Linked DNA regions of Mus musculus. The protein of the gene in region 1 interacts with the protein of each later gene in a pairwise test. Links are inferred from orthologs where the notes say so. Each region holds a gene or a part of one and is shown on either strand. Other genes may lie near its edges.

Region 1 (3,500 bases):
TTTTCTTCTCTGCCCTTATATTAGACAGAGCCTTCCTTTATATTAGGGTGAACTAGACCTCCTGCCTACATCTCCCAAGTGCTAGGATTATAGAGCTTGCTACCATGTCTGACTTTCCTAAGATCATTTTAGAGACTAGTGTATAGTGGGTATTTTAATATATAAAATATAGACCTACATTGTGTGTGAACAGCTCTTGCCAATTAGCATATAAAGAGCAGGGTTCTACAAATACTGTCTTTGGTTATTTTCATTGGCCCATTTGCTCAAACACTCCTAACTTTTTTTTTTAAAGACTTATTTATTTATTATTATATGTAAGTACACTATAGCTGTCTTCAGACACACCAGAAGAGGGAGTCAGATCTCATTACGGATGGTTGTGAGCCACCATGTGGTTGCTGGGATTTGAACTCGGGACCTTTGGAAGAGCAGTCGGAGCTCTTAACCACTGATCCATCTCTCCAGCCCCACTCCTAACTTCTTATAGAGCAGGTCTTAGGTGAGGTCCTCAAATGAGCATGAGTAATACAGTCCTGAAGTTCCTGCACTTGGGAGGAAGAGACAGGAGGGTCCTGTTTTTCATCTGTCTTAAGATGACATAGTAGACTCTGTCCCCAAAACCAAGTCCCTAGACCTACTCATGCCACTAGTAAGAGGAAGAATATTTACTGACATTTACTGCATTAACATATGCTGCATCCAGAAAGTTGAGTTCCTTCGTGTTCTCTCTCTCTCTCTCTCCCTCCCCCCCCTCTCACCCGCCCTCCTCCCTCCCTTCTTCCTTCCTTTTTTTCTTTTCTTTTCTTTTCTTTTCTTTTCTTTTCTTTTCTTTTCTTTTCTTTTCCTTTCCCTTTCCCTTTCCCTTTTCTTTTCTCTCTTCTCTTCTCTTCTCTTCTCTTCTCTTCTCTTCTCTTCTCTTCTCTTCTCTTCTCTTCTCTTCTCTTCTCTTCTCTTCTCTTCTCTTCTCTTCTCTTTTCTTTCTTCTTTTTGCCTGAACATCTAGGGTTGTCTCTTGTGTATTATTCAAGGAAACTGAAAATAGTCACTAGGAATTTTTGTTGTTTGATTTTAGGAATTAGGAACTCAACCAGACAAGGCTGGTTTAGAATAACCGTCTGTGTGGTTAAAAAGTGAACTTACTGTGGTTAGAGATAAAGCTATAGTGTAGTGTGCTTGACTTTACAAGGCCCTCACTTAGGATGACAGTCAAATTCCTCTAGAAGAGTTTGCTCTGAGATTTTCTTGAGACAGGATTTCTTTGTGTAGCCCTGTCTGTCCTGGAACTAGCTTTGGAGACCAGGCTGGTCTTGAACTTACAGAGATCCATGTTCCTCTGCCTTCCAGATGTCATGTGCCATCATTGCCCTGTCAACATTCTAAACATTTCAGGATTAGTGAAGCAAACTTTAAACAAATAATTATTTCATAAAGACAAGGGCTTTTGGTATAAATATAATTAGGATCATGACTTAAATTATGAGATTGAATTTTATTCCTAATTGTGTCTGTGTATTGGTGTGGGTATATAGTTTATGTGGGTTCCTCCAGAGGCCAGAAGCAGTAAGTCCCGTGGAGCGGCAGTTTTAGGTCATTTGCCAGCAAGCCAGCAATGGGGGCTGGGACGCAAACACAGGCCCTTTGCAAGAATAGTACACGCATATAATGTGAGCCATCTCTCCAACCTCAAGTGTAATATTTTAAATAGAAAATTGTCCTATTTTGGAATACTATGGATTGATCTTTATCTCCGTGTTTTACTTAGCATGCCATTAAAGAGTTGTAGTGACTTAACTGTGGTTGAGGGCATGGGCTGCTTGCTCTGCAGTGATCCCAGGGGAGTCCTTGGTACCCACTCCATCAGCAGAGGATGGACTGCTTTTATCCTCTCCAAGCACCTGTACTCAAGTTCACTTATGCAGGCATGATTTAGACATTTAAAAGTCTGTTTAAAATTCCAGTTTATTAGTATTGGTAACTTAAATTATCACTTTATAATGAAATATGGGTAAGTGGTTGGAGAACTTGCTTAGTGGTTAAGAGCATGTGTTCTAGCGGGACACTGGTGGCGCACGCCTTTAATCCCAGCACTTGGGAGGCAAAGGCAGGCGGATTTCTGAGTTCGAGGCCAGCCTGGTCTACAGAGTGAGTTCCAGGACAGCCAGGGATATACAGAGAAACTCTGTCTCAGAAAAAAAAAGAAAAAGAAAAAAGAAAAAGAAAGAGCGAGCCTGTGTTCTTAAAGAGTGCTTGACCTCAGTTCCCAGCATCCATACAGTGACTCAGGCATCTCGAACTCCAGTTTTGACCTTCATGGGCACCAGACATTTAGCACCATTCATACATGGAGACAGAAACTCACACATAATATCTAAGAAGAATGTTAATTAAGATAAAGCTTACAAAGTAAGTAAATGGAACAAGCAGAGAAAACAGCAAGGTGAGGGTGAGGTGACTTGAATAATCTTAGAAATTGACTCATTGGAAGAATAGAAAATTGGTAATTGGTACACGTTAGTTAACTATACAATTTTTAGTTCTAGCGTATTTTTGTTTCCATTCAGAAAACAGACTTTGCTTATGTCATTCAAAGTCCTTTTAACGGTGATATTTTCCTAATTTGAAATTTAGGGCAGCAGCAATGACTCTGCGCACGGTATTATTGTCATTGCAAGCGCTGTTGGCGGCTGCAGAACCAGATGACCCCCAAGATGCAGTAGTAGCGAATCAGGTAAGAAAGTAGCTTTTGAAAGACTTTCTTAGACCTGTGTGTGTAGTTTTAAATATTTCATATTAGCATATTAACATTCTATGTTGTACTAAATTTGGAAATGGTTTCTTTTAATAAAATAATTTTGTCACATATAATAAAATCATGTTACAGGCTAGAGAGATAGCTCAGTGGTTAAGACTGCTCTTAACTCTGAACTCTTCCAGAGGTCTTGAGTTCAATTCCCAGCAACCACATGGTGGCTCACAACCATCTATAATGGGACCTGAGGCCCTTTTCAGGGCTGTCTGAAGACAACTGCAGTGTACTCATATAAAATAAATAAATCTTTAAAAATAATAATAAAATCATGTCATAATAAACAAATAACAAATAAAGAATAAACAAATACCTGTTAGGAACTCCATTATCACTTATGTCCAGATATGTACATTGCAGAGGTTCTGTGTGACTTAAGTTCTCCTTGTACACTTAACTCTTTTGTGATATTCTTTGATTTCAAGAGTTTTTAAAATTATAGTCGTGTTTATGTCATTGTGTTCTGTTTTCCTTGCTTCCTCTTTAAGGAAGCATTTATCAGCCAACCTTCAGATTTTTAAAAATGTGCTTATAAAATGGGTTCCCTTTAGCTGAAGAGATGACTCAGCACTTATGGGCATTAGCTGCTCTTCCAAAGGACCCAGGTTCAGTTCTCTATCACCCACATTTTAGCTCATGACAGTCTGTAAGTTCAGTTTCTGGACACCTTCACACAGACGTACATGTAGGC
Region 2 (4,226 bases), on another chromosome or scaffold:
CATCTCTGGTACAGAAACAGACAGCAGAGACCCAAGACTGAGGTGAGGTATTTATTATCTTGCTTCTCCATCTAGACTTCCTTAAAATTGGGGCCAATTCAGAATAGGAATGACTGAAGATTACAGGCACAGGGCAAAGAGGCCTTTGCTGAGAGAGTTAAACTATCAATTTTATAAGGCCAGTAAATACCACCTGGAATTTCTGAATAATCAATTGTGTCAACTCATAGATCATGTTATTTTATTTCCTAAACACCATTCCAGTACTTCTTGATGTTCAAGTTCAAGTCCCTCGTATCAGAACACGTCTTGAGTGCTTGAAAATGCAGATTCCTAAGCTACCCTAGGCCCCAGAAGTAATTCTAGGACAAGAACAGAATTCCCATGGGGCTATTCAGTTTATTTGGAGGATTCATGTGAAGCCAGGAGGATCTGTATAGCCCTTCATACATTTAGACATATATATTAGGGATTTACGTATTTCATCCAAATTTTATGTAACATAAAAACAAAAACACTTGTGATGGATTCTTAAAACCACTCCAGTTTATAATGAACACCACTATTAAACTGTAATCAAGAACATAAAATGACTGTGAAAAAGATCAACTGTGCTTCATGAAGGTGCTGTCCCTATTGTCACTAAAAGTAACTATACCATTAAAGGAATTTATAGCTTTTTTAAGTATCAGTCACTTGCCAGCAGGAACTTAACAAGCTGTTATAATAATACTCCTCCCATACTTTTTTAGTCATCAGAATTTTTATGATAAAGCCTTTTTATTATTTTTTAAGCTACACATTGTGAACCATTGTTACTAGTGATTAGGCCAAATATGAACTGATTTCCAGGGTATCAATTCCTAAAGGCATGTTTCATTAGGATTAGTAAGGCAATCTTAACTTCAGCCTTGGCAGTAAAGTTCTATTTACTTTTATTAAACTGTGTGTGTGTGTTCAAAACAATTTATTTTTAGTACATCCTCTGAAGCAAAAGACAACAGTTTGTGATATACATGTTACTGCCAACCAACCTTGCTGTCGAGGTAACAACCACAGTTCTTCTCAGGGGATTTTTTTCTTCTTCTATAATTCCCCCTCCTAAATTATGGCTACAATTATATCAGAAAATACTCCCCCCTGTTCTAAGAGACACCATTCCCTGCTTCACCCTCATTAAAGCTGTAAGTTCTGGCCAAATAATAGCTGAAAATAGAAGTCAAGCGAAAGGCTTTGTTTGTAGCGTGTTGTTTTCCTAAGGATTGCCCCCTACCCACTATCCACCCCAGTGTTCTGGCTGAAGTGTACATGCTATGTTTTAACAGATGGGCTGGCTGGCGGCGGCTGGGCTGTAAAACAGGAACGCGGAATCTGTACTGAGTGGTATTGAACTGAGTGCTCGTAAAGTTTACGGACATATACTGACTCAGACAGACCAGACAAGAGTCAGACATGCTTACACATACAGGACAATATATACCTTATAGCTAAGCGCGTTCATCTCTATAAGCGAGAGGAAGTTCAAGGCTGAGTTAATTCTTTATATATTTCTACCTCAGCCCCCTATCAATCCTGCACATAGATTCAGATATATGCACTTGTACATCCATATATGACATAACTCAACGTTTTATGTATTATAAAAGACAGAACTATTCCCAACACCAGAGCCAACTCTCCATAGTCTTCTTAATAAGCTCTCATTCAAATCAAATAAGAATTGCAAGGCAATATTGCACTGAATTCTATTTAGTCCACACAGAATATAAGCTGCATGCAACTGCACTCAGAAAAAAAAATCAAGCTGCATTTACTACAAGAGGAAACGGGGGACAGTGTAACCTGAGCTTAGCAACAAAGTGTCAGGTCTAACCTTGAATCCTCAGTTGTCAGTTCTTGCCACAACTTCATCACGTAAAACACGCAGGTGTTTTAATGAACACCACCAAAACAGGCTGGGGGACACCCAGCCTGGTGTTGGCCTCTACGCTCCCTGCTGGTCCTAACCAAGTTCCTCAGACACACCTTGTAGCAGATGCGGAGGTCTGAGCAACCCGGGAAGAGGGGCGCACATTCAAAGGCTGACAGGAAGCAATTACTTCCCAAAGTTTAATGTTCAGCACCGCTGTCATTTTCTTTGGATCTGCAGAGTACGAAAGAGGCCTGCTACTGTCCCCAGCGGGTCCCTCCAGTTCTCAGTCGGAACGCGACCAGCGCTCGCTGCGCACGCCGGCTCGGGCGCCGGTTAATGTTTAGGAACCACTCTCAAGCCATCTAGGAACTGCTGTGTGCGCACCGAGGTGTCCCCGCGCGCCCGTGTCGCCGCCGCAGAGGGGCAGGGGCGCGTCTGGGACCTAAGGGTGGCAACCACCAACGCCAAGTCGGTTCCGACGCACAGGCATGTCCTGGGCCGAGTTGGGATGCTTTGAAAACCAGAAGTTCGGGAGCCGGGACGCTGACAGAGAGTAAGTGTCTCCTGCCTTGCCTTGCCCTTCCACAGCCGCCACGCTCCCACCCGCCAGCACCGACGCGGTCTTCGGCTCGCTGGCAACCCGGCGCGGAGGAGCCGCTTTCACGGCGCGGCTACTCACCCTCCTGGCCCAGTAGAGACGCCAAATCCACGCCCCTGCAGCAGATCCTCAGTCCCAAGTTGCCCGGAACCGCCGGCTGCTCTTGCCCCGCCGCACCTGGGCGCATTGGCTCTGCGGGGCACCTGACGGGGATCGCCGCAAGCTCGGCGGTCGCCTGGCTCAGCAGTCGCCCAGAGCGCGCTGGCAAACCACGGACCCGCTCAGCGAATGAGGCGGAACACAGCGCAGCGCTGACTAGGCTCCGAAGGGGGCGGAGCCCTGGGGCGGGGCCAGCCTCGGGCCAGCCCCTGTAAGGCGGGGCGTCTACTAGTGTTTGACTGGCGGAGGCCATAGCCAATCGTCAGGGCACCAGGATCCTTGGAGGCCGTAGGAGGTGCCTAGAGCGTAGTCCCGCCCCTCACTCAATGTCCAATCGCTTGCGGCTGAGCGTTGGCCCGGAGACGCTCTAGCTGCCCGCAAGTTGGCAGTTGTGAAGTGCGGTGGTGGTGGTAAGTGTAGTGGTGGTGGCGACGGCGTCGTCTGGGGAGGCTCCTGCATGGTCTGATGCTGTGTGACCCGAACGCCCCGGGAACGAGGCTGCGGCCAGGGAAGGCTCTTGCTGACAGACCGTAGGAGTTCCCAGAACCATCGCGAATGGGCACGCTGCGGGAAAACAACCCTCACATCTGACACCAACAGGAGGCAAGGAACTTAGCCCTAAAGGCGCCCTAGTCATGGGAGGACTCTGAGTACTCAAACAGACTGAGTCTCACAGGTCCAGCTACACTGGAGACGGTTCGGTTCTAAGCTCGTTCTGGCGGTTGTCTCCGAAACAAGGACTCTGGCTCAGCCAACCTCTGGGAAAGTACAAAGCAAGACTCTCCTTTTCCTTCCACACCGCCAGGGACATTTTAACAAAAGCCTGGTTCTTCCCATGCCCAAAGGCGCCCCATGCATTTCCTATTCTCCACAATGGGTTCTGCTGCTGTCTGCTGGCTCCTCCAGGAATATCGAGAAGCCAAACCATCCAGTCTTCTTGGACAGAAAACCGCAGCAGTGCAAGCAAGCCACATCCATCGGACTCTGCATTCCCCACTTTACCCTTTGGAAAACCTTGATTAGGCTGATGGTGTGAAGCTGCCCATAGTTGGTAATAGGGAGTGCACTGGGAGCCTTTAGGTCTGGCCTGAATGGTATTTTTGGCCAGGTTTTAAGATCAAACACACACACACACACACACACACACACACACACACAGAGAGAGAGAGAGAGAGAGAGAGACAGAGACAGAGACAGAGACAGAGAGACAGAGAGAGACAGACAGAGAGACAGACAGAGAGAGATTGAAGGGAATGGAGAGTCAAAAGCAGATATTTGAGTATTGCTGTCTAAGGCTTAGAATATGAGCATGTCTTAGACTATCTTCTTGGACTGGGTAGATCCAATCAGTGCTTAGACCTGTACTTGTGCATCCAACTCAAGTTAAAAGGAATGCACAACAGGACAAGAAAGGGACCAAACTTGCTAATGGTCTGCCAATCACGTGTCCCCCACCTCCATACTCTTGCTTCTAACCCAAACACTTCAGATCACTGTCTCAGTTCTGAGAAACTCTAAGGGATTATGTAGCCATTTAGTACAGGTGACTGACTATTC
Region 3 (4,000 bases), on another chromosome or scaffold:
AGATCTGACAGCTGAGTATGAATGCAAGTTATAAAACCTTACAAAAATATTTGCTTTAATTCAACCTTAAAGTGAATGAAATAGACAGGCCTGAGGTCTGGTATTTCTACACTTGATCTTAGCCAAAAGGCTGAGAAGTGTAGGTGTAGTATTTCTGAAAGTGTTCAGCTTTCAGTAGTTGCTGTAATCAAAGTAACCTCTATAATATGAGTGGATACTTTTGAGAATGAAAGGAAGGGCTGTTGACATTTATGAGGGGACAAAGGTAAAGCCAAGACTGTCCCTGGCAAATGACAAGGAACTATTGTTGGGGCTATAGCCATAAAATCCTCCACACCCTGTGTGACCTGCCAATGGCCTTGCCCTATGAACACATTGGTTGCCTGTATAAGACCAGGCCAGTCAACTTTCCAACCTAAATAGGAAAGGGTTCATATGGCCCCACCTCACACTGAGGAGCTATTGGCAATTGATAGTTTCTGGGGTTGTGGCATTGTAGTGGCCTATGCTCCAGTGGGTGGTCCCATACCATTTGCATACAATTAATACTAACTCTGTGTGTGTGTGTGTGCGTGTGTGTGTGCAGGCAAAACTTTCATGTGAGTAAAATTAAAATACACAAATCTAAAACATTTTTATTTAAAAATTAACAGTTTGGGTTTTAATGACAGAACAGAAGAGAGGAGAGGTTAGTGGGGATGGAGAGGGAGGAAGGAGGGAGCACCGTCTTCCTGGGCACAAAAGAGCAAGAGGAAGGGTTAAGAAGTGTTGAGCTACTAATGGAAATGTCGGTGACCCTGGCTGATACTTTCCTTGTCAAGCTAAAGTCCACAGGTCAGGCAAGCTGATGTGTGTGTGTGTGGGTAGGTGGGGAATCTGAGAAGTACAGAGACAGAGGAAGTAACAGACAGGCCAAACAGAACAAAGGATGACTCAAAGATGCTGGGGTACCAGAGACAGGAAGGAATACCCAACAGAAGGCAGGGTCTGGGAGTGAGAGATCTGCTGGGGTGGTAACAAGCCTTCCTGGGGCTGCCAGCGATCAGTTCCACTCCCCAATTACACCTGAGTGGACTTTGTCACTTCGTCTTTCTGTTCTCTGAATCTGCTTCAGAAAGATATGTTTAATTAGTTCAAGGTCCAGGAAGTCTTGCTCTACTTTATAGGCAGCAGGCACTCTCGGTTTCTGTTCTTGAGAGACAGGGAGAGAGGACTGACCATCTGTTTTCTTCTCTTTAGAATATTCCCCATTTATCGCTGACTCTTTTCTGTCATTATTTATTTAACCCCCCCTTCCCTCATTCTCCTCTAATCCTCTCCCTGAGATACTCTTCAACCTCTGCCTCCTGCTTCCTTCTCTCTTACAAGCACCAGGCCTTGGATTTCTGTACTTTCACATCTCAGATTAGCCCTGCTGTTCCATCATGGCAGGCCAACCTCTGGCCTGCCAACTGCAGGAGGAGGTGACCTGCCCCATCTGCATGGAAATTCTACAAGATCCTGTCACCATTGACTGTGGGCACAACTTCTGCCTGCAGTGTATCAGTCAGGTTGGAAAAACGTCAGAAAAGATCCAATGTCCTCTCTGCAAACTCTCTGTGAATAAGAATACGTTCAGGCCCAATAAGCTGCTGGCTAGTCTTGCAGAGAAGATCCAAAGTATGGATCCTGCTGACATCCAAGCAGAAAAGGAAGACTCAAGATGTCAGAGGCACAAGGAAAAGCTACATTACTTCTGCGAGCAGGATGGGGCATTCCTCTGTGTGGTGTGTCGTGACTCCAAGGACCACAAGTCTCACAATGTCACCTTGATAGATGAGGCTGCCCAGAACTACAAGGTAGGCACCTGGGCCCTTCTCTGCCCCCAGCCCAGCAGAGTAGAGTTCACTGGGGAGGCCCCAGTTGATTGACACCCATTGCTGTACTCTTTGTACTTGAGTTGGCCATTTATAGCCAGGTCCAGTGGGCTCAAAGAATTGAGTTCTAGAAAATGCCAGTCTGTAACCAAAGCAAGACGAAGAATCAGAATAGTACTCTAGGGGCAGGCGAAATGACCCAGAGGGTAAAAGTGCCTGTCTTGACCATAAGGACCCACATAGTAGAAGGAGAAAATTGGTTTGATCCCTGGGACATGCAAAATAAAAGGAGAGAACTCACCCTTGAAAGTTGTCTTCATACACATAAACACAGACACACACACACACACACACACACACACACACACACACACCATAGCACTCTGCTGAACTTGCACACACAATTAATAATGTACTAATTTTTAAACATAATTTTTTATTAATTATTTTTTTTATTTACATTTCAAACATTACCCTTTCTGGTTCCCCTCCATGATCTTTCCACCCTATCCCACCCTTTCTTTTTGCCTTTAAGAGGGTAATGCCCCCTACCCATTCCCACTTCACCCCTCTAGCATCCCCCATCTCTGGGGTATCAAGCCTCCATAAGACCAAACGCATCCCCTTCCACTGAGGCCAGACACGGTGGTTCTTTGATACATATGTAGTGGGGACTATGGGCCAGCTCATGTGTGCTCTTTGTTAAGTGCAAATTTTAACTCAGAAGGTCTCATTCAAGTCCAGCCACTGCTAACTTACAAAGCAGAGCCTGAGACATCCAGATAAGCCAGTGCTCTTCTACCACAGAGCTCCATCCCCTGGTTGGTCCTGGCCCTGCCTCTCTGTGAGGCAGATGAAACCTATCTCTTAAAGAATGTGATAGGACGGATGAGGAGAAGTCTTCCCCTGAGAATACCAAAGCGCCATCCAAATGATCATTAGTAGTATTTTCTCAAGTCACTAAAGTTCCATTTCTTTCCATCACCTCCTTGTTCCTATCGAGAGATGGGGGCCAGGGAGGACTGCTAATAATGACATCAGTACCCTGGAACATCTTCCCTGCCTCTCAAGAGTCAGAGCCTGGCTGAAGCACCCTCTCCTTACAGGTGCAGATTGAGTCACAGGCCCAAGATTTGGGGCAAAAGGACAAGAAAATAATTGAAGAGAAAAAACAAGGTGAAGGGGCAATCTGGGCGTTCAGGGTAAGAAATGCTCATTCCAAACACTTCTGGGGAAACTGAGGCATTGCTGATGAAGCTCCTAGCCTTCCTTTATACAGCAAGCAGGAATAAAATCCTGCTGACGTGGTGGTGAGGGGCAGGGCAGAGGGTGTATGGTGCCTGAGCCGTGCTCCCGAGCCAAGCTCCCTAGCTGTGCTAACTACTGCCTGAATGCTGTGCCAGGTCTTCTGCTCCTCCACCCACAGCAGGCTGTGTAGAGAACACCCACACACTGGCTCACCCAAGCCCTTTCTAACTAGAGACTCCCACAGTAAGAAACGACAGAGACTATGACGCCATTGAACATCTCCACCTCATTTTGTTTGCATGTTTTAAAAAAAGTTTTATTTTTGTTATTTTTATATGTGTGTATATGTATGTGTCTGCATATGAGTAAAAGCCATTCGTGTGAATACTGGAAAAGACCAGACGAACTGGGATTACAGGCACTTGTGAGCTGCCCTACACAGATGCTAGGAACGGAATTCTGGAAGAGTTGAAAGCATTATTTTATTCGTTTGTTGGTTGGTTTACATCCCAAATGCTGACCCTGCCCCCTGGGAATGCCATCACCATCTCCCAGATGCTGTTGACTTGGCTGGCTGGTTTTTGTTACATCCACGGAAAATTCAGTTATGAAGGCAGTTAAGCTGAAAAGCCTTCTTTCTTTATCTTTCTTTCATTCATTTGTTTGTGGTTTTCTCCCATTGACATTTAAGACAATCTTTTATTTATTTATTTATTTATTTATGTATTTATTTATGTATTTATTTATTTATTTATTTATAGATCTATTGTTTATGAATGAATGCTTTGCTAACATAAAATATGTATACCAGATAAATGCCTGGTACCTACCGGTAGAGACCAGAAGAGGGCATAAGATACTTTGTGGGTTATGGGAATTGAATCTGAGTCTTTTGC
Region 4 (3,680 bases), on another chromosome or scaffold:
CCCCGCCTGCCTGTCAGTCACCGAGGCTCCCTGGCTCCGCCCACCCGGAATCCCCCAGGCAGCCGGGCCAACTGCCACCCTGTGGGAGTGGGGGAGAGGTCAGGGGATGACGCTGAGTGACTGTGGGAGGCAGCGCATGACTGTGAGTGATTTTCTGAGGCAGGGAGATGACTGTGTCTGAGTCTCTGAGGCAGGGGGATGATGCTGATTGAATGTGTGAGGCAGGGGCCTGAAAATGAGGCAGGGGATTAAGCTGAGTGAATGTAGGATGCAGGGGTTTAAGTGTGAGTGCGTTTCTGAGGCAGGGGGATGACTGTGAGTGACTGTGGGAGGCAGCGCATGACTGTGATTGATTTTCTGAGGCAGGGAGATGACTGTGTCTGAGTCTCTGAGGCAGGGGGATGATGCTGATTGAATGTGTGAGGCAGGGGCCTGAAAATGAGGCAGGGGATGAAGCTGAGTGAATGTCGGAATGACAGCATAAGAAAAATATAAAAATATTTCCACGTCGCTGCTTCTCCTTTATTCTCCCCCCCCACCCCCCCCCCCCGCGCACACCACCGACATCGGACCCGGATGACAAAACGAATCCCCACCCTCCCGACCCCGACCCCTAACCCCAGCCCAACGATGTGATAAAAACAGAAACGATGGCTGACATGGGATGTTTGGCCCGGGGTTCACCCACACGCAAACAGCAGGCGAGTGACATAAAAAAATAATCATGTTGGGGAAAAACCCATGTGTTTGTTTTCCCTTGTGGTGGTGACATCCAACCTGGGCGGGTGACCCCCAAGCACCGGCCCGACCCAGGGGGGTCAGGCCACAGAAGAACAAGTGCAACGTGTGAAAAAACTGTGCCTACGGTTCACACATACGCAAACAGCGACGAGCAGTCAATGACAGTCTAAGAAAACTATAAAAAAGAATTTCCGTGTCGCCGGTCACGACCGCCGCATTCTCCTCTGTCACCACCGGGTGGCGACAGAGAGCACGCCGGGAAAAACCTCCGCTCCGGGAGTCCTCCCAGGGGTCGGAGTCTGCGAGGGGAAAGCGACGAGGAGGGGACAGACGCCCGAGATCGACTCCAGATGAGGCCAGATGTCTTCCGGGGTGGCAGAATCGAGAACGTGACGAGAAGCGCTGTTTTCCAAACGTTTCTCTTGCTGGCGTCGTCGTCGTCGAGACGTTCTCACAAATTTTCAGAGGAAAATGAAACATTTTCCACCGAGGTGTCCGTGTTTAAGATGTGAAGTCGTTTTAAGTCGCTATCAAAATATTCATCTGGGTATCAATGATACAGTCACAGCTGAAATGTCTCCACTCACATCGGAGTGAGGAAGCCCGCGGGCTTCCTTATTAGGCTCAAGACGGCTTCTGCTTTAGCCGTCTATCCGGTTCTTCTAAGCGGTCGTGCCCAGCCTGGCCTCAGTATGGAATAGAATTTTCTGAAGCAGGGGGATGACCCTGAGTGACCGTGTGAGACAGGGGGATGACTGTGAGTGATTTTCTGAGGCAGGGGGATGACCCTGAGTGACCGTGTGAGGCAGGGGGATGACTGTGAGTGATTTTCTGAGGCAGGGGGATGACTGTGAGTGATTTTCTGAGGCGGGGGGATGACTGTGAATGATTTTCTGAGGCAGGGGGATGACCCTGAGTGACCGTGTGAGGCAGGGGGATGACCCTGAGTGACCGTGTGAGACAGGGGGATGACTGTGAGTGATTTTCTGAGGCAGGGGGTGACTGTGAGTGATTTTATGATGCTGGGGGATGAGTATGAGTGATTTTCTGAGGCAGTGGGATGACTGTGAGTGATTTTCTGAGGCAGAAGGATGACTGTGAGTGATTTTCTGAAGCGGGGGTGATCACTGTGAATGATTTTCTGAGGCAGGGGGATGATTGTGAGTGATTTTCTGAGGCAGGGGGATGACCCTGAGTGACCGTGTGAGGCAGGGGGATGACTGTGAGTGATTTTCTGGACAGATTGGGGAAGATGTCACGACGCTCTGGAAGCCTGAGTTTCTCGACCCCATAAACAGCGGCCTCCACCTGTGTCCCTCCCCGGGGCCGCTGTGGGGCCGGGTCCCTCAAGGTCGCTGCTCCGTACAGTCCAGATGGTCCGGGATGGGCAGACCCGTGACGATGGTCAGACACTTGTTCCACACGGTGAAGGTGGGGCACACGGGCTGCGCGAGCGCCGCGTGGAAGGTGTGGAGGTGGACGGAGCTCAGAGCGTCGTAGAAGGCGATGGAGCCGTTGTCGTAGTCCAGCAGGACGCCGACGCGCCTGAGGTGAGGGGCCGGCGCGATGGGGGTCTCCTTGCCGTCGTGTCGCACCGCCCAGTGGTTGTGGCAGCGGCAGAGGGCCCAGGACGCCGCGTTCTTCCCGATCCACTCGTGTTTCGGCGCCGATCTGTACGCCAGGCCGATGGCGTACCTGCCGAGAAAAAAAAGAAAATCACATCGCCTGTCGGTGAGATTTGCTCGTGGTCCACAGGTGTTTTCTTTTTAAAGTGATCCTTTATTGGCGATCACACTCCCTTTAAGTCTTTACGTCTAAATATGTCTGTCTGTCCTTCCTAAACACATTAGAGGTGGACGGCGGCCGGTGTGTCGACCGACCTTCTGGTCTGCAGCTTAAGTGTCACCAGAGAATCTCGATTTTCCATTCCTTCACTGCCCCGTTTCTCTCCTGTGCATGCCCGTGCAGACGGGTGGACAGACAGACAGACAGAGGGACGGACAGATAGACAAAAGATGGACAGACAGATGGACAGAAGAGCAGACAGACTGATGGACAGAAACAGACAGAGAGAAGGGCAGACAGGTAGACGGATGGGCAGACAGACAGACAGAGGGACGGACAGATAGACAAAAGATGGACAGACAGATGGACAGAAGAGCAGACAGACTGATGGCCAGAAACAGACAGAGAGAAGGGCAGACAGGTAGACGGATGGACAGACAGACAGACAGAGGGACGGACAGATAGACAAAAGATGGACAGACAGATGGACAGAAGAGCAGACAGACCGATGGACAGAAACAGACAGAGAGAAGGGCAGACAGGTAGACGGATGGACAGACAGACAGACAGAGGGACGGACAGATAGACAAAAGATGGACAGACAGATGGACAGAAGAGCAGACAGACTGATGGACAGAAACAGACAGAGAGAAGGGCAGACAGGCAGACGGGCGGACAGACAGACAGACAGAGGGACGGACAGATAGACAAAAGATGGAGAGACAGATGGACAGAAGAGCAGACAGACTGATGGACAGAAACAGACAGAGAGAAGGGCAGACAGGCAGACGGGCGGACAGACAGACAGACAGACAGAGGGATGGACAGATAGACAAAAGATGGACAGACAGATGGACAGAAGAGCAGACAGACTGATGGACAGAAACAGACAGAGAGAAGGGCAGACAGGTAGACGGATGGACAGACAGAGGACAGGTGGACAGATGGACAGAAGACAGATGGACACACAGGGACAGACAGACGGATCCAGACGGAGACGGCCTACCATGTGCTTCCGCTGGTGACCACTTCCCAGTAGTGACGGCCGCTGTCGATGAACACGTTGCCAGCCACTCCGTAGCTCCCCTGACCAGCGAAGCGCTCCGGCGCGTGACTCTTCTTAGAGGACGACTCGTCGCGCTCGACAGTCAGGT
Region 5 (4,171 bases), on another chromosome or scaffold:
AATGTGCAAGTCTGGAGTCTATCCATAAGCTCCATCTGCTCTCCCAGAGAAACTTAAGCAAGGTCTTCAAAGAGAAAGAAGCAGGCTTTGGTTCCCACCCAGTGTTTCCTGAGCACAGGATTTGGTCCTCCTGGCATCCTAGATGCAGGGGCAGCAAAGCACCGAACTAGACCGGTTTTCTACACTCCAGCTCCAGCCAGGGAAAGCGTTTCGCTAATGTCAGCTGTGGTGGCTACTCCTGGTGGTCAACTTGACTATCTGGAAGGAATTACAACCCAGAATTGGAGGGCTCACCTGTGATCCAGATCTTGAGGCTGGAAGACACAAGTTTCTGACCTGGATCTTGACATGGAGATCTTGAGGTACAGTGGCCATTAAGTTTAGGACCAGGCAAGGCAGTACACGACTTCAATCCCAGACTGGGGCAAGGAGTTCTCTGAGTTCAAAGTCAGCCCGGGAGAAAGCAAGTCCCAAATCCAAACAAGGTGGTGCACACCTTAATCTGGGCCACGCCTTCTGCTGGAAGTCTACATAAGGACATAGGAAGAAGGAAGATTCTCTTCTTCACGGGCTTGCACTTACTTGCCAGCACATCTGTCGGAACCTACTTCTACAGAAGACCAGCTGAAAGAACTAGCCACGTGGGACTGCGCAACTACTAGATTCTTGGACTTCCCATCCACAGCTGCCCATTGTTGGGTTAGCCTGTAAGTCATCACGATTAATTATAGAGAGAGAAACATTCACTAGGTTCTGTAGCTCTAGAGAACCCCTGGCTAATACATCACCCAACCGGAGGAGGGGAAAAGACGCACCTCGGTCTGCAGCCAAGATAACTCACCTACTACAGCTTGCCGGTTAAATTGCCAAACCTCAGCCAGTCGGAAGTGACGTGCCAGCATAGACTCTCAGGTCGGCCACGTAATACACCGCCGCCTTAAACAGCAACCCTCCCCCAGAATTGACCCGGAGACCGGGAAAGTGTGGCCCAACGCCCACAACCCGTAGCCGCCCAGGCCTCTGCGGTTCCCAGCCCCACCGAGGACCAGCTTGAGCCTCTGCGGGCTCGCTGACCGCGCAGCTCTGCCAGCCCAGCCACGGCGCGCTGCCCGCCATGGGGTTCGGCGTCTCGCCACGCGCATGCGCGGCCCTCAGTCTCCGGGGGACCGCTCTGGTCACCTGGGCGCCAGCACCTCAGCCACGGGAAGCGGCGGGTTCCCTCTCGCCCGGTAAACTAGCCGCGCAGGCCCTCGCCTCCGGCTCTCCGCCCGCCACCCGCCGCGGGCCCGACTAGGCCCTGGCACGGCGGCTCGGCGCCGCGCAGCTGTCTTCCATCGCCGCAGCGCGGCTTCCGCTTCCGGCGAGTATTGTGTGTCGCGCCGCGGGGCGGGGGTGAGGGGAGGAGGAAGGAGGGAGGCAGTGCTCCGGCGGCTCCGCGCCCGGCACTCCGGGACCCGGAGCCGGGAAGGTAGGTGCTGCGCCGCCGCCACAAGGGTCCCGCAGCCGGCTCCAGCGAGCGGGCTCCTCTCGCCGCGGCCCTACGCCCGGCGAGTACGTCAGCCGGCCGGCGCGCAACCACAGCTGCCTCCGCCCGCCTCGGGCCCGGAGGACGTTTGCCGCCCCGGCGACGTCAGCGCGTCCGGCGTTGCTTGGCTACCCCGCCGTTCCCCTGTCCCGCTGCCTTTGGTCTCCCCGGGTGAAACTGACGCAGTCATCGCGGGTCTGGGCTGCGACATGGCAGCGGGCATCCCACCTTCACGTCACACCTCTCCCTCACTTAGACACGCATCCGTTCCTCCCTGCCAAGCACGACGTATGCTCCCTCACTCTGGTCCTCATGCTCCCGATATGGCTGGAGAAGATGGAGAACGGGTGGGACAGAGTTGTGGCCAGTGCTTGAAAGAGGCTCCTGAGGTGGTACCCAATAGTGATTAAAGGCAAAACGTGGACGTCTCTGACGCGATTACTTACACTGAGATCGAGTAATGGAGAGTGGGAGGAAGGATCAAGCCAGAGGAGCACAAGGCCATATTATGGCTGCCCTCTACACCACCACCACACCACCCCCAGCTCCAAATCCTCTCCGTTCTTCACTATCCTTGAGCCCGTTTCTCTCTCATACCATCTATTTGCTAATTAGATACATGCAGGTCTCTCAAGTGTGAATATGGTTCAGTTTTAGGTGAGGATGCCACTTATCTGTAGGATTGAGGAGGAGGAGGCTAAGTCACTAGTCAAAACTGGATTCTAATGGGCAGAGAAGAAAGAAATCATCCAACTGTACTTATCTGGATCAATTCTTTTCTCCATTAAAAGAGGATAAGTTACCAACTCCTACTTAAAATCCTTCCATTTGTACCACCAGTATACAGAAATAATCATTGTTGCCCCAATTCATTACATGGGCACTTTTCTGTCGATGGGTAGACCTATCAAATTTCCTTCCTTTTTGGGGGGCCCCTTTTGGGACAGAAGGAAAGTAGGGGGTTATGGGACCAGATAAATTAGCTTACTTATGTATTGACATCTTAAGAATGGAGAGCTTTGGTTGTCTCTTTCCATACACTTATTCATTTATTGAGACCAATAACTATTTATTGGTTATATTTAATTTAGGCTGGCCTCGAGTTCCTGAGGCTCCTGCCTTTGCCTCCTCGGTACATGCGCTACCTACCTAGTATTAACCATACCTGGCTAATTTCCTTCCTAATCACTGACTATCTAAGGAGTTAGTTATCAGTAGTGACGTTGAAAGACTGCAGTCACCACTGAATGTTTAGAATGTACTTGCCAGCTCTCTCTCCAAGAAGCTGCTGCCCTCAATGCACTCAATGGTGCTTCCTTAGAGCTGATATGTATTTGTTGCTTTGCAGCCATCCCAGCTGCACACAAATAGAAATGCGGTGAGTGACAGGAGCATCTTCAAGAAGAGAGCGTTCTTCCTTTGGGCTAGTTTGGGGAAAGGAAGAACCATGTCATGCTTTCCCTGAAACAGTGTGTTACTGTAGTGTAACTCATTAAGAGGAACAGCAGACAATCAAGGCTAGACTCTAAAACAATAAACTTCCTATGACGTTAGAAGAAGTAGCTTGGGGTTCTTTGAAATCGATGCAGTAATTATATATGAAGTTCTTTAAAGTAGTAATGAGTTCTAGGGCTGATAGTCAGTTTTAATAGATATGTAGATATATTATTTGTTTTACAAATCTTACTCTACAGCCCAGGCTAGCCTTATTCTTGTATTGATCCTCCTGCCTCACAGTGAGCCACCATGCCCAGCTAAAATCTTAATACTTTGGCTTATGTGACATATCTCATTTCCCATGGTTCCCTCCCTGTAGAAATAAGATCTGTGTAATTCAAGCTAACCTAGAACTCATTGTGTAGCCTACGTTGGCCTTCAGCTAATGACAGTCCCCCTACCTTGACCTCAAAAATGGCTAGGGAAATGGGTTTCAGTCGCCATATCAGGCTCCTTTTCATTGCTGGTATTGAAAAAGCAGAGGTAAAGAAATTCTGGGCACTGCTGATATTTGCTGACTCAAAATAATAATAAAATAATAATAACAGTGATGGGGAGAGGTCACACACACTGTAAATAGACCAACAGATGAAAAGGTGGAAATGGGAGAATACCAAGATGGGGCTTCATCTAGACCTATGGCTTACTGGGAGCTAATGTCAGGAAACAAAATAACCCTCCAACTAACACTTCTTTCCTCTCTCCCTGCCTCCAAGTTATAATGGCAGAGACAAGTCTGTTAGAGGCTGGAACCTCTGCAGCCTCCACAGCCGCTGCTCTGGAGAACCTGCAGGTGGAAGCAAGCTGTTCTGTATGCCTAGAGTATCTGAAGGAGCCAGTTATTATTGAATGTGGGCACAACTTCTGCAAAGCGTGCATTACCCGCTGGTGGGAAGACCTAGAGCGGGACTTCCCTTGCCCTGTCTGTCGGAAGACATCCCGATACCGGAGTCTCCGGCCTAACCGACAGCTAGGCAGTATGGTGGAAATCGCCAAGCAGCTCCAGACGGTCAAGCGGAAGATCAGAGATGAAAGCCTCTGCTCCCAGCACCACGAACCTCTTAGCCTTTTCTGCTATGAAGACCAGGAGGCTGTCTGTCTGATATGTGCAATTTCTCATACCCACCGGCCCCACACCGTCGTGCCGAT
Region 6 (4,300 bases), on another chromosome or scaffold:
ATCTCTGGAACACTACTGTATACTGAAAGTACACAATTTTTCATTTTATGGGGGCTCATTTTTTTCTTTTTTGTTTTTTTGAGACAGTTTCTCTGTAGCCCTGGCTGTCCTGGAACTCACTTTGTAGACCAGGCTGGCCTTGAGCCCAGAAATCCGCCTGCCTCTGCCTCCCAAGTGCTGGATTAAAGGTGTGTGCCACCACTGCCCTGCTAGGGCTCATTGTTTAGAAGTTAGTGTGGCCTCTTTTTTGGAAACTTTTGCTATGTATCCCAGGCTGTCCTGGAATTCACGTTCACTCTTCAAAGGTTCAGAATTACAGATGTGTACCACCATAATCATATTTTTTTAGTGGTGGTTTGTTTACATAAAAATATGATTCAACTCCGACTAATGTAAAGTAATAAATAAAATTTAAAAATGCATTTAAAGCCTGAATCTGTCACAAGTCACTAGTACTAGTCATTAGTTACATAAATAATGAAACTTTTTCTTTTTAGTATTATGCTCTATTTATTCCAAATAATTTCCATCTGGTCATCTCATCCTTTTTTTCCATGCTTCATTCCTCCTGTCACCTACTTTGTGGAGTATGTGGCACTTCTGAAAGGTGAACCTTTGCTAGAGGAAATGGGTCACTGCTTTTTGGTTATAGAGCCCAGCTCCATTTTCTATTCTCTTGTTTTTTGACTGGATGGCTAGCCACTTTGCCATCCTGCCTTTATTAGCATGGTGGACACGGATCTCGTATTGCTATAAGCCAAAATAAAGTCTTTCACGAACTTTGTCTATTAATTCAGAAAATAAATATAATTTTCTGCTGTGGGTGTAAAAAATTACTATTATTACTGTTACCCCAGCATCCAGAAGACTACTTGGCATGTAGTATGCCCTCAATAAATAGATAAGTTAGAGTGACTTCAATAGCTCAACACTAAATTACCAGAGCATCAGTGGCTAGGGTGGGGTGCAGGAGTTCTAGATTAGATAGGGCAGCATAGGGACACTACTTCTCTTTCTTTAAAAGGAGAAAAATATTCGAATATTATCAGCTATATCATCTAATAGAATTCCACATTACTCCTATACTTCGCTTTAAAAATATCCCTGGCGTTCAGCCCTTTCTTTTAAGTTCTGCGATTGAACATTCTGAGTACACCCTTTCTAGTCCTGAAGTCAAAATGTCACCAGCCTTAAAGCTTTTCTGAAACCATTGGCCGATGTCTAAGTCTCACTCTGGCTCACTTCGCAGGACCTTTCCTTCTGTCCCCGCAAAGCACTGCGCACAGAAGGAAACCACTGCCCAGTGAAGATACTCCATGGGATGAGCCCGAGAACCACACATTTCCCCAGTTAGCGCGCACTGGTTGTCAGCTCCTCCCACAGAACGCGACCTCGAGGTCGCCTTCCTTTCCAGCAGCCCGGAACCATCCTTGAGCCCTCCAGCTCGCCGGAAGCCCCGCCCCGTCCCGCCCCGCCCCGCGGCAGCCAGCGGACTCGCGCATGCTCGCTGCGCGCAGCCTCGTCCCCGCGTGCTCTCGCGCGCTTCCTCTCGCCCGCTCTGCTCTTTTTGGTTACTCAGGGGCACGCGCAGCGTTTCGCGCGACGATTGGCTGCCTCGGTGGCGGCGCCACAGGACCGGGCAACTACGCGAGCGGAGTGGGCGCTTAAGGATCCCGCGGCTCCTCAGGTAACGGCGTGGACCGGGAGCGGCTGGGGGAGGGGGGAGAACCTCAGGGTGGCCTGCAGCCCGCCCGGGACTTCCGGCCGCGGCCCCTGGAGGTGCAGGAGCGCTGCGTGGCCCGCGTCGCGGCGTCCTCAGGTGACAACACCGCTCCTTCTCCAGGTTTCGGCCTCATGGCGTCATAGTCTTTCAAAAGTTAAGAAGGGACGAACAATGACTCGGAAGTGTGGGCTGTTTTTCCTCTAAGCTTTGACGAGTTAGGGTTTCAGTCCTGGCGGGACCGCGGATCCACTCTGTGCTTTTGCGGGACACTTGAGCGATTCACAGTTCTCACCCTTCAAAGTGCGAGCAAAAACCCCAGTGTAGTTCAGTATGCCCGGCGCCTACATTAGTAAGATGCAGCTGCAAACTCTGCCTTCACTACATTCAAGATTTGGCTTTTCTTTTTTTTCTTTTTCTTTTTGGTTTTTTTTTCGAGACAGGGTTTCTTTGTATAGCCCTGGCTGTCCTGGAGCTCACTTTGTAGACCAGGCTGGCCTCGAACTCAGAAATCCGCCTGCCTCTGCCTCCCGAGTGCTGGGATTAAAGGTGTGCGCCACCATCGCCCGGCCAAGAGCTGGCTTTTCTAACTGGAGGATGACACCACCCAGTGGTATTGGTGAAGTACTTGAAGTTGGACACTACAAGATAGAAGAATAGACTAGGTTTCTAAGAGAATAGGCCTTTGGAAGGGCTCCTTGAGCGTTTTGATGTCCGTTAATTCCCGATGGTGGTAGACAGCTAAAGAAGGACAGTTTTAACCTGTCTCACGAGTTACCTCACTTTGCAAAGTTTCGTATTGCCATCTGGAATGAACCTCACATCAAAGGACAGTTAGTTACATAATCATTACATAGGCTATCATCCCGTACCTCAATGTGCCTCAAACTAGAGTGACTTGAGAGGAGGGTAGTTAAAGGAGGAATTGCCTCCATCAGATTGGGAACATTTTCTTGATTAATGATTGATATGAGAGGGCCCAGATCACTGGGTTTTTTCAGCCCCAGGCAGGTTGGACCGCAGTTGTTAAGGAAGCAAACCAAGCATGCTATGGAGAGCAAGCCAGTAAGCAAGGTTACTCCCTGGTCTCTGCTTCAGTTCCTGTTTCCAGGTTCCAGCCTTGAGCTCTTTGCCTTGTTGCCCTGGATGGCGATGGATGCTGACCCTCCACTATGTTTGTTTTTGGTCATGGTAGTCTTGTCAAATTGAAAGAAACCAACCTAGATCCAATCCTATGAAAATAATATAGCAATATATATATGTATATACTTTAAAGATTTATGTATGTGAATAAACTGTTGCTCTCTTTAGACACACCATAAGAGGGCATCAGATCCTATTACAAATGGTTGTGAGCTACCATGTAGTTGTTAGGAATTGAACTCAGGACTTCTGGAAGAGTCAGTGCGTTTAACCACTGAGCCATCTCTACAGCCCAAGCAATATATTTATTTAATGGAGGCAAAGTTTGTAAAAGTGAGATAATATGAATTATTTCACTAGATAAAAGTAATAATGGCAAAACAAATATGAATAGGACATGTACATTATTCTTCAAAGACAGTATAAAATAAAAATCTTTGTGTGATAAGTTTGAAAGCTTAATAAACATACAAAACCATGCTTAAGTCCTGTGTACAATTTATTGCATTTTCATGAAGTATAATTATGTCTTGAAATTTAATTTTAATATATATATAGGTATGTGATATAGTATAAATTTAAAGTACTGCATTAGATTTGTGTATGTACATTGAGATTGCTTTCATTATGTGTAATATGTGTACAGTTTAGAAATAACTAGACTATAACAGGGTTCAGTTTACTGTAGTTTATAATCTTGAATATTCTTCTTGTTTCTTCTTTAAACATACCAACATCTGTCTCCGTCTTTTTCTTAAGACATTCTCTTTTGAGTCTGGCTGTTTGAGAAGTTGCTATGTAGACCAAGCTGAACTTGAACTCAGGGAAATTATCCTGCCTCTGCCTCCCAAGTGCTGGGATTAAATGAGGGCACCACCCCACAGGGCTTCTTTGTATTTTATCTTGAGGATTTTGAAGACTACCATGACCAAAAACAAACATAGTGGAGGGTCAGCATCCATCGCCATCCAGGGCAACAAGGCAAAGAGCTCAAAATCCTTCTTTGTATTTTATCTTGTGGAATGAACTTTGAAAAATAGAAAAAAACTTGATAATAACTTTTAAAATCTTTATTGTGAAATAATTCATATAGAAAGAAGTATATAAAACATGGACTTTTTAATTCCTTATTCAAATGAATAATCACTAAAACTTCTTACTAATCTGTTTGTAGCTGTTTATAAAATATATCTGCACAAGTGATATGGATTTGTCAGTGGATGGATTGTTTTATATGTGCCTTATTAATGCTGTTGCTCAAATCTCTAATAACAATTTGTATATCTAATGTGTTTTAGTAGTAATAAGTGCTGACAATTTGCTACATGTTAAAACTCCTTTTGTAATAATGAAGACTATTTCTCCCTGGATACACACCCACCCAGCCATCCACATATACATATATACACACACATATGCACACATACATACATATGT
Region 7 (4,237 bases), on another chromosome or scaffold:
TCTTTGCTTGTTTTCTCGGCAATTCTTTTTTTTTTTTTTGCGGGGGGCGGAGGGAAGGAGTTTGAGACAGGGTTTCTCTGTGTAGCCCTGGCTGTCCTGGAACTCACTCTGTAGACCAGCCTGGCCTCCAACTTAAAAATCCACCTGCCTCTGCCTCCCAAGTACTGGGATAAAGGCGTGCGCCACCACTGCCCATTTTACACATGAAAATGGAAAGTTAGTTAAAAGCCAGTACCTTGGACATGGCAGGAGCTTACACATCATCTTTAATGTACCGAACGGTTCGGCTCAGGGCTCTGGGACAAGCAGCATTTTCGCCATAGAAAGATAATACGCAGATTCACTCTCCTTTGAAAGACGTTGAACCCGGAACATAAAAAGCAAGCCTCAAGCCAGGTGGACACTGGGGAGGCAAGAGGTAGGCGGATCTCTTGAGTTTAAGGCCAGCCTATCCTACATAGTGAATTCCAGGACAGCCAGGGCAACAAAGAGAAACCCTGACTAGGGGAGAGGGAGGGGAGGGAAGCAAGTTTGACTTGGTTCACAAAGGCACATCCGATTCCTGTTTCCTTATTTTATTGTATCTCAGAGACACCTAGAAGCTTAAGTTTCCTCTGGTACTCGTCATATTGTCTTCAAAGGAAGCAGCTAGCTCTGTATTCTCACGAATAAGCTAGTTACATATGTACTAATGTGAATTGCCCTTTAAAAAAGAGAGTATCTACAACAAATACTATTTGACACCAGATTAGCCTAAGAGGTAATGTAATTGCATTCCTTGTCTTGCTTCCCCGCTTACCTAACACAGAGCGCTTTAAACTCCACCACGACTCTCCTCGGGTTCTCTCCCACCCATTTCCCCTAACCACAGTGTTGCAGCCTTAGGAAATCAAATCCATTAATGTTTCGGGCGGTCTGAGTTTTTGAAGAGCCATCAGGAATACTACAAGAGTGTGTGGCTGGGAGGTGGACGACCCCTGCAGCACCCTAGATCAAAGCTTTGCGGTGAGACACTCCCTCCCTCTCCATCCTGCGGCCTCCTAAGTTAACAGCAGCATCCATCCCCATGACTGTGAGTCACAGGTCGGGAGGCTCCGGGATGCTGACCACAGCTCTGGAAACTGAAGGGCTGGGAGGACAGCAGGCCACGCTGCAGACCAGCTGCCCCGCGGCGACCTCGTCCCAGCGCTGCACCAGGTCTGGCACCCGAGCCGTGCACCACCCAGCACCAAGTAACTCTGCAAGGCGGGACACCCAGGGTCGCCCCGGAGCTTCACACCTGAAGCACATAGAGCCCTCCCTCCCAAAAGGCTACACTGTCCGTCCTAAGAACTTCCGGCCCAGAGCGGAGGCCCAGCTAGCCCCCGCCTCTCATAGGCCGCTCGCAAGGAGCATCCAGGCGCCGCCGAGTTAAATAGAGAGGCGGGGCTTGGTGACGAGCTTCCGCCCCGTTGCGTAGCAGCAGTGGGCGTGGCTAAGGGCTAACCCGAGACAGCGAGGAGTGGTCGGAACCTTCTTCCCCATCCTTACCTTCCCCTTCCCCTACGGGGAAAGGCTGAGACCGGGCACACAGTGTGCTACGCGGCCGCCGTGTCCTCAGCTGCAGCCAGGCCCCGCGTCCGGAGAAACCAGGCTGCGTTCCGGGTGGTGCGTAATGCGCCTGGGCGAGCTTCTAACCCTGGGGGGTTGGGGGGGAGAGGGGGCGAGGTCCCTGTGGATTGGTGCCTGGGTCCGAAGTGCTGGGGGTAGGGAGGAAGGGTGGAGAGGAGGAGGAAAATGGAGGAAGGGAGCTCAGCTGGGAGGAGTCGGGAGGTGAGCTAGCTGGGGGCTCTGGAGCTTTGGAAGATCCTCTGGAGTAGGGAGAGCCTCGGGAAGTGCGGGAGTGGCCTTGGGCCAGCCTGAGGACCCGGGAGGAGCTGATTGCTGGGGCTGAGGGACAACATGGAGTTTAAATGGCAATGATTGACAGGCCTGGAGGCGAAGGGAACGTTCTGGGGGCTAGCCTTGGCAGGGACCGCGGAACCCAAACCTCCGCCCTCCAAGCGCCATAGCTTGGCTTCTTTCCCATGCCTTGTCTTTGGCAGCCTTGTCTTTCTCTTTTATTCCTTCGCCGCTTCTCTCCCCTCCCGCCTCTCCGTGGAGGACTCTTACATTCCTTACATCTTTGACCCTGAATGATTTGCAGCCCCGCTCTCTGATACGCACGATCCATCCACTCGTTTAATACACTGGAAAGCCCACCCCAGTCCAGGAGGCAGGGCATTTGTGGGGTAGAGAGTGAGGGGGGGTGGGAGTAGGGGCAGGAGAAAGACCTGAAAAAGCAGGATGAGGGTGTTTTGGATTGGTACACTAACTTCATTTCATGAAACTTCATTTCAACTGGTAGCAAATGTGATGGTTACCAAGGCCACTGTTCTTGGGAGATTGACCTATGAGAATCTTGGCAGCTACTTCTTATACAGTAGTTTTAACTACTGTAGCAGGATGGGTGGCTACTAGTGTTCCCCCAAGAAAGAGTGGGATTGGATAGTGCCAAGGGAGGGTGAGGGGTGCATTTGTTATGCAGTGTCTTCAGTAAACCTTGTGGCAGGGCCTACTTCCCAGTGATTGAAAAGAAGGAACAAGCATTTTCAAGCATTTCCTCTGGTTCTCACTGTGAGTTTATTTTGCCATTCTGTTGCAACAAGTAATACAGCAGTCTTACACGTGCACTCAGAGTTTATCTCATTTGATTTGCAGGACAATAGGTTAGAAAATGCAAGTGTCATATCTGTTTGACAGTTGGCTACACGGCTTGTTTGAAGCTGTCCTGTCAGTGGATGGCAGAGCTAGGACTGGAATCCAAGCCCACCCTCCTTCCCCCTCTCTCCTGATTCAATGCTTGTCTTACAACTCCTGGTCTGTTTTCCTAAGGGTTAATTTTCCCATTACAGGAGGCTTTTTGGTTTCTGTGTTTGGAATTTCTTGTCCCTAGGAGACCAAGCACAGCCAATATAGTACCTGTTCCTGGAAGCTTTTTTTTTTTTTTTTTTTTTTTCCTGAGGTACAGGTGCATGTGCCAGATGGTTGGGAAATGAAGTGTTGTTCAAAGGAAGGAAGCATTCCTCCTCCCGTGTTATGTGGGGTGGGGAGGAACATCAACTCTCTCCTCTCTGGACCACAGTGAAGAAAAATTCTGGGCTTTACATCTCTCTCATTCACTGAGAAGACACACTGAACTAGGAGCACATGTACCCAATTCAGGAGACCCAGTAGCCTTTGTGTTCTGCATGAAAGATCATCAGGTACTCTCCTAACTTAGCCCTTTCACTATTGATACACACAGGATAACGAGCCGGGGAGTTTAATTAGTCATGCTGTGTCTCATTGACTCCGATTCTCAGGGCCCTGGAATAGCCCTCAGTCCCATCTTTTCAGGCATGAGCCTGGTCAACCTGGTTTTTTTTTGCTTCCTGGTCGACCAAGTTGCCTACCTAGAACAACACTATCTCTGCTTTCTTCCTCCTTCCCAATTGAGAAAAGGTCCTGCCTGGTAGCCTCTCCTGACCGAGTTCACAGTGATCTTCCTGTCTCAGCCTCCTGGGTGTTGGGATTGCAGGCATGAGCTACCGTACCTGCCTTCGTTCTTCCTGTTTATGAGTAAACCCGCTCTCTCAGTCCCCACCCCTTTGTCTTTTTTTAAAGCCTTATCCCTTCAGGGGTGTTTCAGTTTACACCTATAGCGACATTACTGAGTATTCTCTGTGTGAGAAAACATTTCCCTTGTGAGAGTCTGGATGTTTGGGGATCTGAGTACTCCAGGCTTACATCCCTGCCGGGAATGATCTAAAGCCCTGCTTTCTCACTGTCTTCTGACTTTTTCCAGCCCTGGCACTATAGGCATGCTCTCTCAAGTACAGAGCCAGGGACTGAGTCCCAGTGCTTTGTAAGCCGAGCTGCATCCCCAGGCCAGTTTTGGGTTTGTTTGAGACAAAGTTTGGAACTTGCTACGTAGCCTGAGCTGGCCTTGAACTCAAATTCTCCTATTTCACCTACTGAGTGCTGGGAATGCAGGCATGGACTGTCCTCCCTGGCCTCTAGAATAGTTTTTACATGATATCATATAAGTAAAGTCACTCCAGAAACATTAAAGGACTGTACAGGGCAAGCGCTATGGATTTGTATTCTGTATAGCCACTGATGTGGGATTTTTGGCATTGCTTGTAGTTATATGTGCTGAATAAAGAAGTATATATGT

The links.
Region 2: the proteins of Ube2k (region 1) and Marchf3 interact in binary tests that used the Homo sapiens proteins (3 or more experiments, as listed by UniProt). The link is inferred for Mus musculus from reciprocal best matches to the Homo sapiens genes UBE2K and MARCHF3.
Region 3: the proteins of Ube2k (region 1) and Trim31 interact in binary tests that used the Homo sapiens proteins (3 or more experiments, as listed by UniProt). The link is inferred for Mus musculus from reciprocal best matches to the Homo sapiens genes UBE2K and TRIM31.
Region 4: the proteins of Ube2k (region 1) and Mid1 interact in binary tests that used the Homo sapiens proteins (3 or more experiments, as listed by UniProt). The link is inferred for Mus musculus from reciprocal best matches to the Homo sapiens genes UBE2K and MID1.
Region 5: the proteins of Ube2k (region 1) and Trim39 interact in binary tests that used the Homo sapiens proteins (3 or more experiments, as listed by UniProt). The link is inferred for Mus musculus from reciprocal best matches to the Homo sapiens genes UBE2K and TRIM39.
Region 6: the proteins of Ube2k (region 1) and Mipol1 interact in binary tests that used the Homo sapiens proteins (3 or more experiments, as listed by UniProt). The two-hybrid records come from large-scale screens. The link is inferred for Mus musculus from reciprocal best matches to the Homo sapiens genes UBE2K and MIPOL1.
Region 7: the proteins of Ube2k (region 1) and Rnf41 interact in binary tests that used the Homo sapiens proteins (3 or more experiments, as listed by UniProt). The link is inferred for Mus musculus from reciprocal best matches to the Homo sapiens genes UBE2K and RNF41.

Annotation. Positions count from the first base shown.
Region 1 is NC_000071.6:65,589,245-65,592,744, forward strand, and holds part of Ube2k (ubiquitin-conjugating enzyme E2 K), read left to right. Parts: intron 1-2,631; coding exon 2,632-2,731; intron 2,732-3,500. UniProt on the Homo sapiens protein: Accepts ubiquitin from the E1 complex and catalyzes its covalent attachment to other proteins. In vitro, in the presence or in the absence of BRCA1-BARD1 E3 ubiquitin-protein ligase complex, catalyzes the synthesis of 'Lys-48'-linked polyubiquitin chains.
Region 2 is NC_000084.6:56,922,716-56,926,941, forward strand, and holds the start of Marchf3 (E3 ubiquitin-protein ligase MARCHF3), read right to left. Parts: upstream 2,801-4,226; 5' UTR 2,592-2,800; intron 1-2,591. UniProt on the Homo sapiens protein: E3 ubiquitin-protein ligase which may be involved in endosomal trafficking. E3 ubiquitin ligases accept ubiquitin from an E2 ubiquitin-conjugating enzyme in the form of a thioester and then directly transfer the ubiquitin to targeted substrates.
Region 3 is NC_000083.6:36,896,930-36,900,929, forward strand, and holds the start of Trim31 (E3 ubiquitin-protein ligase TRIM31), read left to right. Parts: upstream 1-1,200; 5' UTR 1,201-1,424; coding exon 1,425-1,838; intron 1,839-2,962; coding exon 2,963-3,058; intron 3,059-4,000.
Region 4 is NC_000086.7:169,987,619-169,991,298, reverse strand, and holds the end of Mid1 (E3 ubiquitin-protein ligase Midline-1), read right to left. Parts: coding exon 3,533-3,680; intron 2,437-3,532; coding exon 2,088-2,436; 3' UTR 501-2,087; downstream 1-500. UniProt on the Homo sapiens protein: Has E3 ubiquitin ligase activity towards IGBP1, promoting its monoubiquitination, which results in deprotection of the catalytic subunit of protein phosphatase PP2A, and its subsequent degradation by polyubiquitination.
Region 5 is NC_000083.6:36,268,634-36,272,804, reverse strand, and holds the start of Trim39 (E3 ubiquitin-protein ligase TRIM39), read left to right. Parts: upstream 1-1,371; 5' UTR 1,372-1,468; intron 1,469-2,027; exon of another isoform or gene 2,028-3,738; 5' UTR 3,739-3,743; coding exon 3,744-4,171.
Region 6 is NC_000078.6:57,228,925-57,233,224, forward strand, and holds the start of Mipol1 (mirror-image polydactyly gene 1 protein homolog), read left to right. Parts: upstream 1-1,500; 5' UTR 1,501-1,687; intron 1,688-4,300.
Region 7 is NC_000076.6:128,410,179-128,414,415, forward strand, and holds the start of Rnf41 (E3 ubiquitin-protein ligase NRDP1), read left to right. Parts: upstream 1-1,437; 5' UTR 1,438-1,647; intron 1,648-4,237. UniProt on the Homo sapiens protein: Acts as E3 ubiquitin-protein ligase and regulates the degradation of target proteins. Polyubiquitinates MYD88. Negatively regulates MYD88-dependent production of pro-inflammatory cytokines.